Drosophila melanogaster: one gene and its partner. The gene in region 2 interacts genetically with the main gene of each other region. Each region holds a gene or a part of one and is shown on either strand. Other genes may lie near its edges. The genes, in order: Top1 and B52.

Region 1 (4,924 bases), on a different chromosome or scaffold from region 2:
GCACATCCTCCTCGTCGTCGTTCATCTCGTCGGCGTCGTCGTCGTGATCATTGTAGTTCATGGTGCTGTCCTCTTCGGCGTAGCTCTGCTCGTGCTTCACCACAAACGGCGGCTCATCGGCACGAAACTGGGACATGGAGTAGTCACAGGAGCTGGCTTGCGACAGATTGTTAAAGCTCTCCTCCTCCTTCTTGATGTCTACGATCGATTCCTCGTAGCCGTTCTTATAGTTGGCACCGGCAACGTTTCCATTGCCATTAAAATTGGTGCCGGCGGCTGCGGCTTCGTAGCTACCGAGCTGTTGCATCTGGAAAGCATCCACCGAGCCCGAGTGCATCAGCTGTTGGGAAACGGGCTCCGGCTTAACAAATACGCCATCGTACGATGGCTGGTCTTTCGAGGAAGATGAGCTGCTGTGCCGCGAACTGGAATGTTTGCTCTTCGATGAGGATGAAGAGGAGCTGCTCTTGTGACTGCTGCTGCTGCGCTCTTTGTCACGGGAGCTGGACGAGGACTTGTGCCGACTGGATGAACTGCTGCCGCGATCCTTGTCCTTATCGCGTCGCTCCTTATCCTTCGAGGACCTCTTGTGGTGGCCCGACGACGACTTGTGCTTGCTGCTGCTGCTCCCATCCTTATCCTTGTGGCTGGACGATGAGCCGCTGCGATGCGAGTTGCTGCTGCCATCGCGCTCCTTGTCCTTGTCCCGATGCTTTGACGACGAACTGCTGCTCTTGTGTCGATCCTTGTCGCTAAAATGTAAAAGGTTAGGGTTATTAGTTGGATTCCTTGTGAAATGTTATAGCCTAATCTATAGCTCTGAAAAAAGCATTACTCTGTATATAATATTGAATTATCTGGTCTGATTGCAGTTTCTCATTCTATATACATATGCACCTTTTCTTCCAGCTTCTATCTAAAGTCGCTTTCTTGGGAGATAATTTAAATTACTTAGGAACTGAACATAGAAACTTAGGCCATTTTAGACGGAATACCTTTAAAGTGATAGCTACCTACATTTCATTAGTTTGGCACTGTAAATTGATTATAAGAACTATAACAATGAGCACATGGGGAACAACTGTCTCTTAATGTAAGCACTATTATGAATCCCAGGTGATTACATTGTCCTTTCCTGACTTTGACCTATTTGGACTGTTCCAGATGGTTCGACACGAGTGGCCCGATTCGAATCGAATCGCATAGAGTCGAGTCAAATCGATCTGCTCCTACATACGTACCGACTGCTGCTCTTGTGCTCCTTCGACGAGCTGGAGGAATTGGAGCTCTTGTGCTCCCTCTCCCTATCACGATGCTTGTCCTTGCTGGAGGATTTATGCTTGCTGCTGCTGCTGCTGCTGCTGCTGTGGTGATGATGGTGGTGGTGTCCGTGTCCATTGGTGGTCACCCCGTTGGATTGAACCACCTCGCAGCTGCCACCATTTTGTATGTGGATGCTCTGCGGGCGCGAGAGAGATGGCGAGATGGAAGAAAGAAGAAAGGGAGATGGTATCAGTTAGTTAGTACGTATATATGTAGATGGACCAGCTGAAAAGTGAGAGTGAATCCGGGCCAGAAACCTGTGCATCCGTCATGTTGGCCCAACTGGTCGCTTGTGGATCTACTCGATTTCCTCTCGATTTCTGGCGATGATTGGCTATTATCTCGTGTCTATCCGCTCACCACGTGGTGAAAATCAACCCTAACAAATGCCGCGTAGGAAAATTCACTTTAAACTACCAGCAATGGGTTAATCGAAGAAGAAGAGCCGCCGAGCGATGGCGACAGGAAATTGAAAATTGTTTCCGAATCACTTGGAATAGGTTAATATATATTTAAAAAACACCTTGCCAAACAATGACACCCACACACGCACAAGAGTCGTTTAGAATACAGAAAATCGTTGCTTTTTTTTTACACTTTTTGCATTTTTTTTTTTTTTTTTAACAGCTACACACACAAACACATCCCCACGGGGTTATTGTTGTTATTGTGGTTGCATATTATTCATCCGGAGCATTTTCTAGTTAATGCTTTTATTTGTTTTTGGCTGTTTTGGGGTGGCACATCTGTCTTATCAGACGACGGAACACCTTCGTATATGTATGTGCATGTAGAAGTGTAATTGCAAAATGGGACACTTGCAATTACATATGTACATGAAAGCAGCGGTCCACAACCAACAACAACAACAACAACAGCAGCAAACACATGTGATATTATGTGTGTGGAAGAGGGCAGTGTGACCAAACTTGGTGGTAATCTACGAAGAACAGGGAAATTGAGACGCTATGCGAACGTAAATAAGGCAAGTTGCAGTGGAAATGCAGGGAAATGAGTTAGTTAAAGGGTGTTTTTGAGGGGGAAAAATGTGGAAAGGCAACGTTCGAGTGGCTGGTGAAAATACCAGTTTTGATTAAAATACCAGCCAGCTGCGGCCACACTGTGCCAAATACATTTCGTCTGCCTCGGCTCTTCCCCTCCCTGCTTCACACCATCCTTCACCTTTTCCCACTTGCATTGTCGCCATTTTCGTCAATTACCAAAAGACCTCTTCTTACTTTTTTTTCTCTGCTCGTTGTATTTTACGCACTCTGCTGGCAGCGCTGTCGGCGTCGCTGCCAGCTGCCAGCAGCGAGCGGTACACTTGCAACTATCCTGTGCACCCTACAATTATGCGGTTCAGAATTTAACTTGATTTTTTGGGACTGACAGGCAGGCTGCAGGCGGCAGGCAAAGTCCCCCCATTCAACACGTTTGCACATTACATAAAAAAGGAATGGATATTTCGTTTAGGGCACTTACATTTTCGGCAGCCACATCCCCACTCATTTTGCGGAACTCGCTTAGCGGTTTTTCTTTTATTTTATTCGTTCCTTTCTTTTCTTTTCACGCTTTTACACTGTTCGACTAAACTGTTCGTTAGGATTTTCAATAATTAGATGTTGGTGCTCCTTAAAGCGGTGACAGCGGCGGGGAAATAAAAGCGCACTGAAGTTTTTCGAAAAGGAGCAGCGTTTGGTGCTTTGGTCAATGCGAATGCCCTTGCTTTTTGGCTTCTTTGCGTTTTACGGAACGCAGCAGCCACGCAGTCTCCCCGATAGGCGATTGGTTCGGACAAGTAGCGACTGCTGCTATCGGAGAGCGATAGGCTGATAGTTCGGATTCGGACAGTGTGACCGTCGGTGCCCGTGTCGATACTAGCCTGTCGATAGATGTTCACTCTTTCTCGATAGTCTGAGCACTGAATTGATACGAAATCTAGAATAACTTTAAGAAAAAGCTAACTTTTTTTCACTTTCACAAAAGGGTTTTCCCCACTATTTGCTTAAATCACTGATTGTGGTAAATGCAGCGCCAAACGTTCAAAAAAAAAAAAATAAGCATTGAATGCCACAAAATGAAATATAAAACATTTAAAGAAATTATTTAACGTTCTGGCATCGAAGTAATTTATTACTTTCGTACAGCTCTTGCAATTATTATTTTGGAAGAAAAACAAATAAAACCACCGCCATAACTGCTTTATCATTGTTTTGTATGTAGGTACACAAGTTTATTCACTAATACATTAGTTTAATATTAATTTAGATAAAAAAAAAAACAAATGCATAACAAACATTTAACAGAGTTCTCATATTTTTGTCGCCTCAGCTTTTTCTGGTTTTTGTGGGTGTGTGTGTTTGTGTGTGTGTGTGGTTTCTTAACTTCCGTTTTTACGCTTTTACATCGATTTATTATTAGTTTACATCGAACCATATATGCATCTAATTATGTATACATTTGTGTAAATTGTACTTGGCTCACTTGCTACATATATGCAGTGCACCGTGCTTGGCCAAAATCCATCAATTCGTCCGGATTTATCTTAACCATAACAACATTAAACATCTATAAAAAGTGTTCGTACGGTAAATGTAATTAAACTATGCAACGCTTCCTTTTAGTGCGCGTATGAATATATTTGTTATATTTATGTATGTATGTATATATTACCTTTTCATGCGAAACTATGCCGATTTAAGTTTAGGTTTTAGTTTTAGATTTACGGTTGTTTCCATCTCGGTATTATGTATGTGTGTATGTAGTTGGTAACAGTCTTTTATCACGTTTAGTTTGGGCATTACGCACAACGTATGGTACATAGGTTTTTAATAGTATATTTCATTTAGCATAATAATTGTTTAAATCCTCCCATTTACGCTAATCATTACTTATATCATTATCTTAATCCTTTGTGGGTGTTTGTTGCCGTTTCCGCTTTCGATGCAAATTGACGTGACTCTTTTCTATTCATATTTGTTCTACCATCTTTTTGTTTTAGAAAATTGGGATCAGCAAATAACAAGTTGTGTTCAAAAGAATCAGCTGTGATTGGATTAAGCTACTAAATATGTATGTGTCTAACATTCTAAACGAAATCGGAAACGGAAACGGTAACGGTAACTAGTTCTACATGCATGTAAAAGTCCTTCTACGTGGGACAGGAAGTTAAAAACAACAAACTGAACAAACAGTGTATATATGTACATATATATATATATATATATATATATATGTGAGTGTGTGCATGTGGGCAGGGTATCTAAAGTATGCTTGTCTCAGGCTCACTCATAAGTTGGGGTTAAAGGTTATCTATCCGTATCTGTATCTGTACCTAAACTGTACCGCAGCAGTTACCCATCAGTTGACCGAACGAGAAGTAACCCTGAATTATTGGTTCTATTGGTTGGTACGAATTAGGGACACTTTGTATGTTGGGGCTTGAGCTGACTGCCAGGACAGTAGTTACATATCACATCGATGAAACCCTTCAGTCGAGACCCGATCGGGCGCTCTCCATCACTCTAGTCCTGGTCGTCCTCCTGAAGCGGCGGCGGCGGCTGCTCCTGATTCCGATCCGAATCCGATGACTTCCGGGTGC
Region 2 (7,895 bases):
TTATTTTACGGCATTCGCATTTAAAATAGGATTTTCGATTATCTGTTCTACTCGTAGTTAGTCGGTGCGATTTTCAAGGCCCATTGCCCATTAACCATTGCTCACTCGAGACGTCAAACGCTTGGAAAGAAAAAATCTCTTTTATCCCTATGTGCTTTGTATATAATAGTGTACTTAATTCGTACAAGTAATTACTTTAAAAGCAAAACACAAACGATATATATTGTTAGAACCAAAACTTTGTCAGTTTATAAAACTTAGTTATGCATTTGATTTTAGATTGCTAATTCATTTTCAAATTTTAAATATTTAACTAGGATATATTTCAGCCAATGAGGTGTCAAAATTATCATTGGCGTTCTTCAAATTCAAGATAAATAAAATCAAATGAAATTGTAATTTTAATTCAGGCAAATAATGCGAAATAGTGAAACTAAGACTTTGTAATATACTTATATTCCGAAATTACGACAACAAAAAAGAAAAACAATAAACTAACTTTATATGATTAAAATCGTCGAAGTACTTTATATCCTTTTTGAAGTGAAACCAGCGAGCAAACATTTATAGTTTAAATTTATCCGTATTTATTGAAATTACTCATTGTATAGACAATTTTAAGTGTTCCGGTGTACAAGTCGCAGTAATTTCGTGGCCTATATGTACTCCTTGAATCCAAATCGGCACATTCAGCCGATCCCTGTCATCTTCCAGCCAATGTCCCATGTCCACAACAAGACTTAGGACAAATTGTCGTTATATATTTAAAAGAAAATGACGAGGCCCGACAGTGGTGGATTGGTATGATTTCATATTCATTAAGTTTTGGTTGTAGTCGGGGTGTCTGAGTGTTGATGTTTGTAGAATAGTTATAGTAGAAGTCTAAAATCAAGTGTTTTAATATTAATGGGACAGCTAACTAATCTAATCGTCCATGCTCTCGTTATTGCGGTCCGGTGAGGCGTTTCCATTTTTGGGCGAGGCCGAACGGGAGCGTGAGCGCGAACGCGACTTGTTTTCAGCCGATGCGGATCGATCGCTGCAAAAGAAAGGCATTGTAGTGAACTATAGAACGAGCTTTTGAACGACCACCGTTGGCGGGCTACAAACAGGTGCATCCAAACAAAACCAAAGAAAGCACGAAAGAAAGAATCGTGAACGGTCTATAATAATATGGAGCCATGGTCATCGCACTGTGGCCAAACTTACCGTGAACGGGAGTCGCGGTGGATGGACTTGGAACGTGAGCGGGAACGGGACTCGCGCTTCGAGACGGACCGCGATCGGGAACGGGAGTCACGCTCACGTTTGGGCGAACGGGAGCGGGTGCGGGAGTGGGACTTTGACTTGGACTTGGACACGTCACGCGATTTGCTGCAGCGGAAGTAGTGAAGTAATTAATTAGTGGGCAATCATATGAAGTAAAAAGCCAGGGAGGATCGTAATTAATATTTTCTATCGTGTAAAATCTATATAATATTAATATTAAAGCATATATCACAAAGAATTTGTGATTAAGTACGATCCCTACCAGACTTTATTCTCTCTCTACTTACTTGGATCGCGAGCGGGAGCGAGAACGAGACTTGACTGGCGACTTGGACTTGGAGCGTCCGCCACGAGATTTGGAGCGGCTGCGAGACTTGGAGCGCGAGTGCGACGAGCGGCGAGAGCGAGAACGCCTGCGGGATCGGGAGCGCGATCGGGAGCTGGACGAACGGGAGCGTCCACGTCCGCTGCCGCCGCCACCACCGCTGCGTCCTCCGCGACGATCCTCGACCAAGTGGATCCGCCTGCCGTTTAGCTCGGTGTCATCCAACTTCTCAATGGCCGTCTTCATGTCCGACAACGAGGCGAACTCAACCACGCTGCAAAGGAACACAATTGTAGTTGGTTGTATGTAAAATAATTTCAACCATTTTCAAACATACCCCTCATTGCGACGCTGCTTGTGGGCATCGGCATAGGTGACCTCGCCAGCCTGGCGCATGTAATCCTTGAGATCCTGCAGGGACGCACAAAGTCGGAACGAAAAGATAGTAATTAGTAAGTTTCAGCTTTGGCAGATGTCTCGCACATTTCGACATCGCACATCCGACGGCAGTGGTTGCAACTCAAAGGACAGCCCGTGCAGCAGATGGAGCATTTTGAATGTTTTCGGTATTATTTGGGGCTCCTAACCAAGTCCCAGCCTCTCACAAGTCCCTCTCTCTCTCTCACTCAGTGCCCTGTGTTCGTCTATCCTGTGCTCTTGTCGCGCCTGCCTACGTGTGGAAACCGAGAACCTCACTCCGGACGAAGGATTTCGCTTGGCCAGGAAAAAAGAAGGAGGAGGTGCCCAGAACGTACCGAACACAACATTCAAACACTCCACGCTGCACGCGGCACAAAACTTAAGCGTAAACAATCATAGTTAACAGTGGTTGGCAATTGATAGTAGATATATATATATATATATAGATTGAGTTGATTTGGTTTGGAAATAAATTAAAGTTAACAAAATAGTTGTAATTGAATTCTTACTTAATGCGCTTTCAGAGAGAGGAGGACACACACATCGTTTCTACACCGAGAGTTTAGATTGTCTGCCTAGTAACTGTGGGCCAATGACACCAAGGACACCTCATGACCTCATCGAAAGTCCGATCGAACATCGTTAACTCAACCAGTCAGCCAGAAGAGAACCAGTGGCCAGGCAGGCGGATGAGCGGATGGATGGCCAGAGCTCGTTACGTTTTGTTTGTTTGGATTTGGTATTCGTTTTCATTTGGCCACGTACGTACCACCAAGTACACAGTTTTGTTATGTTTTTCATGTACAACAGAATCATATTATAAATGGCAAAAAGGTATTCAAGTGTTGCGGTAGCTGTTTTCGTTTCGTTTCGGAGGAAGCCACACACCGGATACAGTCAGGAGGAGGTCAGATCAGATCAGAGCAGACATCGCTGGCCAGAACCACCGCACCAGAGAGCCAGAGAATGGAGCATTTGGAGCAGTTTGCCGGTCAGAGGCGGACAACAACCAGCGGCATCGGCACCTCACGCACAAACGAACTGCAAAAATAAGAAATACGTTTCGGGACGCTGCTCTCGCTTCTCCAACGGGTTGGGTTGGTGGTTGTCTAGTCGGTAGTCTCAGCCGGAGACGGGGCAGGTAGCCGTATGCCGTTTGCCGGAGCCGCAGCCATAAGCCAGAGCCGCAGCCGGAAGCCAGAAGAACCGGGAATGGGGGGAAGGAATAAGTTCGGAGGCACTAGCCGAAGTTGGTAACTGAACGCGCGACCAGCATCGCAGCATCGTGTCATCGTCATCGATCGATCATCGTCATATGCTCATCCCTCATCGTCGCCAAGACCATCACATCATCTTAGAATTAGCGAACGCAAGCTTCTCATCTAACCACACTCGATTGATTCGATTCGCACCCTCATCACACTCACAATGGCTATAAGGAATTTGACAATTCTTTATATAATATTGTTGGTAATTAAAATTGTGAATGTTTTTAGCAGAGAGTTAAATACCTAACGCAAGAGGCCAGCCCACGTCTTTTCAATCAGTGTGGGCTTTAATACGTGGGCTGGCCTTTTGACCCGGGCAGCTCATCAACGTCCATCGTCATCGTCTGCTTTCTGATTTCGATTTTGCATTCAGTTTTGGGTTCGATTCTGATCGACTTGTTCATTTCGTTATGTGTTCTATATTATGTTTTATTTGGAATAGACGACGAATGGATGAGGCGGCGGCGATGGCGCTTCGTGGAGGTCGGTCGTAGGTTGCAGATCGTAGTTCGCATATCGAAACCAATCTGGGGCGGCTCTGGGTACTGTCTCACTCTGTCTTCCACCGCATCTTGGTTTTTGGGTAACATTCTGAACCGGTCGGTCGGTCACTAGACTAGCTTGTCTTTCTCACAGCGATTCAATTAGATTTGATTCTCTTTCAGTTTTAGATTCGGCCCCAAGCCGAGGAGGGAATCTCTCAGTCAAAGCACATCAAACTCTTTTTATTATCGGTTTCGGTTGGTGTGTGCAAGAGAAAGTAATGGTGGGTAGATTACACCGATCAGTACCAGGGTTTTAGCAATATCTTTTGTTTTCGTGTTTCACTTAAGTCTAGGTCAACTGTACAGCTTAGGGCTAGATTACAGATTATAGAATTGGCTCTAGTCAGAGTGGAGGAGGAGTTAAAACACAAAACAGGACGAAGACACCGGAAAGTAATTCGAAATCAAAAAGGGGCTCGAAAAGGTTGGTTCTGGGATGGGTAAGTTGATTAATGGGTGTTTGTAATAGTGATCCATTTCAGTCGGTTAGCCGTTTTAATTCTAGTACTACACTCCTCGAATCTAAGCTACAGTATATACCACGCCCAAGGCGCGATACATCGATCCATGCTCACTTACCTGCCAGCTAACGCGGCTAGACAAATTCTCCACAATCAGTCGGTACTCAGTGCGCAACGGTGGGCCATAACGAGAGGATGATCTGGAATTTTTGTTTCTGGTGAATAATTGAATGGATTCGCTAATTAGTATTGACACTGCGCTGCTGCTCCTGATGCTCCATCACAAAAATTAACGGTAATGGTGAATATATTCCAGCATATGCATATTTACATTTGGGTTATGCGCAACAAATCAAACATTTTACATACTATGCGGATGGGTGGAACGTGCAAATAAAAGCAACAATAGTATGCATAGGAAAACGGAGCGTCTTGGAAATGATAATATTAACAGCAAGTCAGTGTCTTTTGGTTCCCTTCCACGCAGAAGAAATCAGCTTATACGATTGCACTACCAAAAGTGTATAAAACTATAGAAGTCAATATATAATAAACTGATGTTTTTTATATATATCGCAAGTAGCTAATATTATAGGTATATAGATTTTGCACGATCTAAGCTGGTTGCATCTGTGTGGATGGAGATATCAAACGAAACAAATTGGCAGTGCTAATTCTAGGGCAAACTTCAACGCAAACAAAGTTGGAGGACGATATCGTCGCTACTTTGGTCCGGTTTTAAGGTCCGCTGGCAGTACTACTTACTTTTCGTTGTAACGACCGCCCCCGCCCCCCCGCCGACCACCATATCGATCGTCGTAGCGGTCGCGGTTGCTGCCACGAGCGGTACCCCTGGCGGGTTCAACAACCACACTGCAAAAATATAGAACATACAATCGTGAGTCATTTCGTACTTTGGCTTATATCTAACAACTCACCGTTCGCCAAGCAGCTCTTTGCCATTCAGTTCATAGACGGCATCGTCGGCATCACGATAGTCTTCGAATTCCTGAAAATTCAATTAGTGATTAGTATTGATTATGGAATTAGTATTGAAGCTACCCTGCCTGTGCATACTCTTATGGAAATACGCTGGGTGAATTTAAGAACAGTTTTTAAGCGTCACTGTATTTGACAGACAAATGATGGAACAAATATAGGTTCAAAAAGAAAAAAAAAGTATTCAAGGGTCGGCTTGAAATGTTAGGAAACCTATAGACAAACAGAGAAATGCAGAAATGTCTTCAAATCAAATTTAACCGATTTTTTTTTTTTACATATTCCAGTTAAATATGATATTTTGTACTCACCACAAAGCCGTAGCCATTTTTGATGAGGATGTCGCGTGTGCGGCCGTAGCCTTTGAAAAAGCGCTCCAAATCGCGCTCGCGCACTCCGTAGGGCAGACCGCCCACATACACTCGAGATCCCACCATGATAACGGTTCCTTACGTATCTGGAGCAGGTGCTATAAAATAGTGAAGTATATATATATATATCAGCAAGGGAACCGTTGCAGTTTGCAGCTTCTATTTTGCTCGACTGTCCTTTAGGAATGGAAGAAAAAAAAAACGCACATATGTACGCGCCGTGTATGTTTCGCCAAGATGGCGGCCACCACATACACACACACACGCTCGCAATGTACCGGGTGTACAGAACCGCTGCAAAAACGAGTTAATTTAACAACGCGAAATACGCGCTGTTCTTCACTTAAGCGTACTCACTAGCACGTACCGTTCAGTGAAGGATATTTGTGGCAAATTTACAATTAAGTCGCTGCCGTACTCTCTCTTTTTCAGGCTTTCCCACACGAAAAAACGCAAGCGACTCGACACAAACGGAAGTGAAAGTGACAGACGAAAGCGATGTTTGACAGTCATTCCAAAGGCGGAATGGAACGATACTTTTTCGCCTATCGATATTTTGGGCGGGCAATGCGTTTCGCTGCGTTAAGGGTATTCCAGTTGCTGTTCGTGTTCCGCTATGAAAAGAATAAACATTAAATATACTTAGTAGTAGCATTTGAATATACTGTTAACAACCTTTTTATTTTGATATCTGCTAGCAAGCACTCATTAGCATTTTTTAACGTTTCTGATTTGATGATATACATAAAATGTTTCTGGATTTATTAATTTATTTCGCACGATGTCTTTTTTTATTCCCAAATGCCTCATAGATCCCGTAATTGTAATATTGATTGACCCTTAGCTGGCTACTTACAAATATACAATTCAATACAAAATAATTTACAAGTTATCTCTTAAAGTGAAGCCTTCCATCGCCCCAGCTAAAGCGAATGCTCGCAGAAAGAGTTATGTAAGCGGTATTAATAATAATACATATTTAGCTAAAAAGTTAAACATATTAAATGTTTCTTGGGTTATCGTGGTAGTAATTATCATAATCCATTTATAAAGATAATACATTCAAATCCGTTTGTTCAGAAATATATACAATAAACTTGTCTAATATTTTTAAGCCCTTACTAGACGAATACAAATTTATATGAAGATATATAAAATCAAGTGTGGCATCAGCTTAATTGTCGAGGAACACCCCTAACGCACCGAAACAATCGTTCCGATTCCACGTGGCGTCCGATTTTCCGACTTTACCCCGTTCTCGACACCTGGTCATACTGCTCACTCCATTCTCATTGTGCGTGCTGTACATTTCATTTATTGCCAGTCTGCCGTCAAAAAAGAACAAAAACAAAAAAAATATTTCCTGCGTTCGGTGTTTAAACTTTCCATCTTCTTGAACAACCAAGGAGAGAATGGCGGAACAAAACGATTCCAACGGAAACTACGACGATGGTGAAGAGGTGAGTTGCAGAATGACCAATTGCTGTTTGTAAATCGTTCATCGCGCGTGAAAGTGCAAAATGTCGACGCCGACAATATTCGTGTATAATATACATTCACGCCGCTTTTTTACCGAATTATGGGGGCCATCGATCCCTGTGCGAATTTAGCCAGCTAAAAGTTTATCGACCTCTTTTGGCGAGAAATATAAGCAATTTCCGATAAAAAAGTTGCCGGCTGTTTGATAAAAAAGAAAACGAAAATTCATACATACATACACATATACGGGCTGTCATGGCGGTGCAAATACTAAAAAAAAAAAAAAAAAATATGGCGAGCGGCTTTTTCTCGCCAGGTAAATTACTATTATAAACAATGGCAAATCCTTGTTGATCAAGGATGATTTTGCACTTTTATCGTTTTATTGACATAAACTTATTGACTTATTGACAGCAACTTATTTTTTTATTAAATTTACAGCAACTTATTATACATTTAAATATTTTTTATACATTTATTCATTTAGATACAGTATGATTTTTTTTTTTATTATATAAATTTATACATTTTTCGCAAAGTTTGTCCAAAGAAATCAATTAATTTAATTTAATATTACAACTTATTTTCGAATCAATGGGTTTTTTTTTTGTTTTTAGAAATTATTTAAATTATAGAACGTCTTTAGCTAATGCATTTGAAATTCACCCGCAGATCACCGAGCCAGAGCAGCTGCGCAAACTGTTCATCGGCGGACTGGACTACCGCACCACAGATGATGGCCTGAAGGCTCACTTCGA

Evidence for each region.
Region 1: of B52 (region 2) and Top1, changing one suppresses a phenotype caused by changing the other (phenotypic suppression), as found in Drosophila melanogaster (one study listed by BioGRID).

Annotation. Positions count from the first base shown.
Region 1 is NC_004354.4:15,317,689-15,322,612, reverse strand, and holds the start of Top1 (topoisomerase 1), read right to left. Parts: upstream 3,122-4,924; 5' UTR 2,833-3,121; coding exon 2,806-2,832; intron 2,660-2,805; exon of another isoform or gene 2,576-2,659; intron 2,245-2,575; exon of another isoform or gene 1,596-2,244; coding exon of another isoform or gene 1,581-1,595; intron 1,460-1,580; coding exon 1,242-1,459; intron 753-1,241; coding exon 1-752. Other genes in the region: gce (germ cell-expressed bHLH-PAS), read right to left, coding at 4,848-4,924. UniProt on the Drosophila melanogaster protein: Releases the supercoiling and torsional tension of DNA introduced during the DNA replication and transcription by transiently cleaving and rejoining one strand of the DNA duplex.
Region 2 is NT_033777.3:13,659,563-13,667,457, reverse strand, and holds B52 (B52), read right to left. Parts: upstream 6,148-7,895; 5' UTR 6,016-6,147; exon of another isoform or gene 5,757-6,015; 5' UTR 5,725-5,756; coding exon 5,599-5,724; intron 5,298-5,598; coding exon 5,227-5,297; intron 5,162-5,226; coding exon 5,054-5,161; intron 4,504-5,053; coding exon 4,407-4,503; coding exon of another isoform or gene 4,350-4,406; exon of another isoform or gene 4,004-4,349; coding exon of another isoform or gene 3,983-4,003; exon of another isoform or gene 2,006-3,982; coding exon 1,932-2,005; intron 1,869-1,931; coding exon 1,557-1,868; intron 1,375-1,556; coding exon 1,210-1,374; intron 1,103-1,209; coding exon of another isoform or gene 1,066-1,102; exon of another isoform or gene 1,040-1,065; coding exon 925-1,039; 3' UTR 567-924; downstream 1-566. Other genes in the region: Hrb87F (heterogeneous nuclear ribonucleoprotein at 87F), read left to right, coding at 7,071-7,118, 7,810-7,895. UniProt on the Drosophila melanogaster protein: Essential for development. May have a critical role in splicing or in controlling alternative splice site use of at least some pre-mRNA in vivo. Not required for all splicing. May play a general role in the condensation or decondensation of chromatin.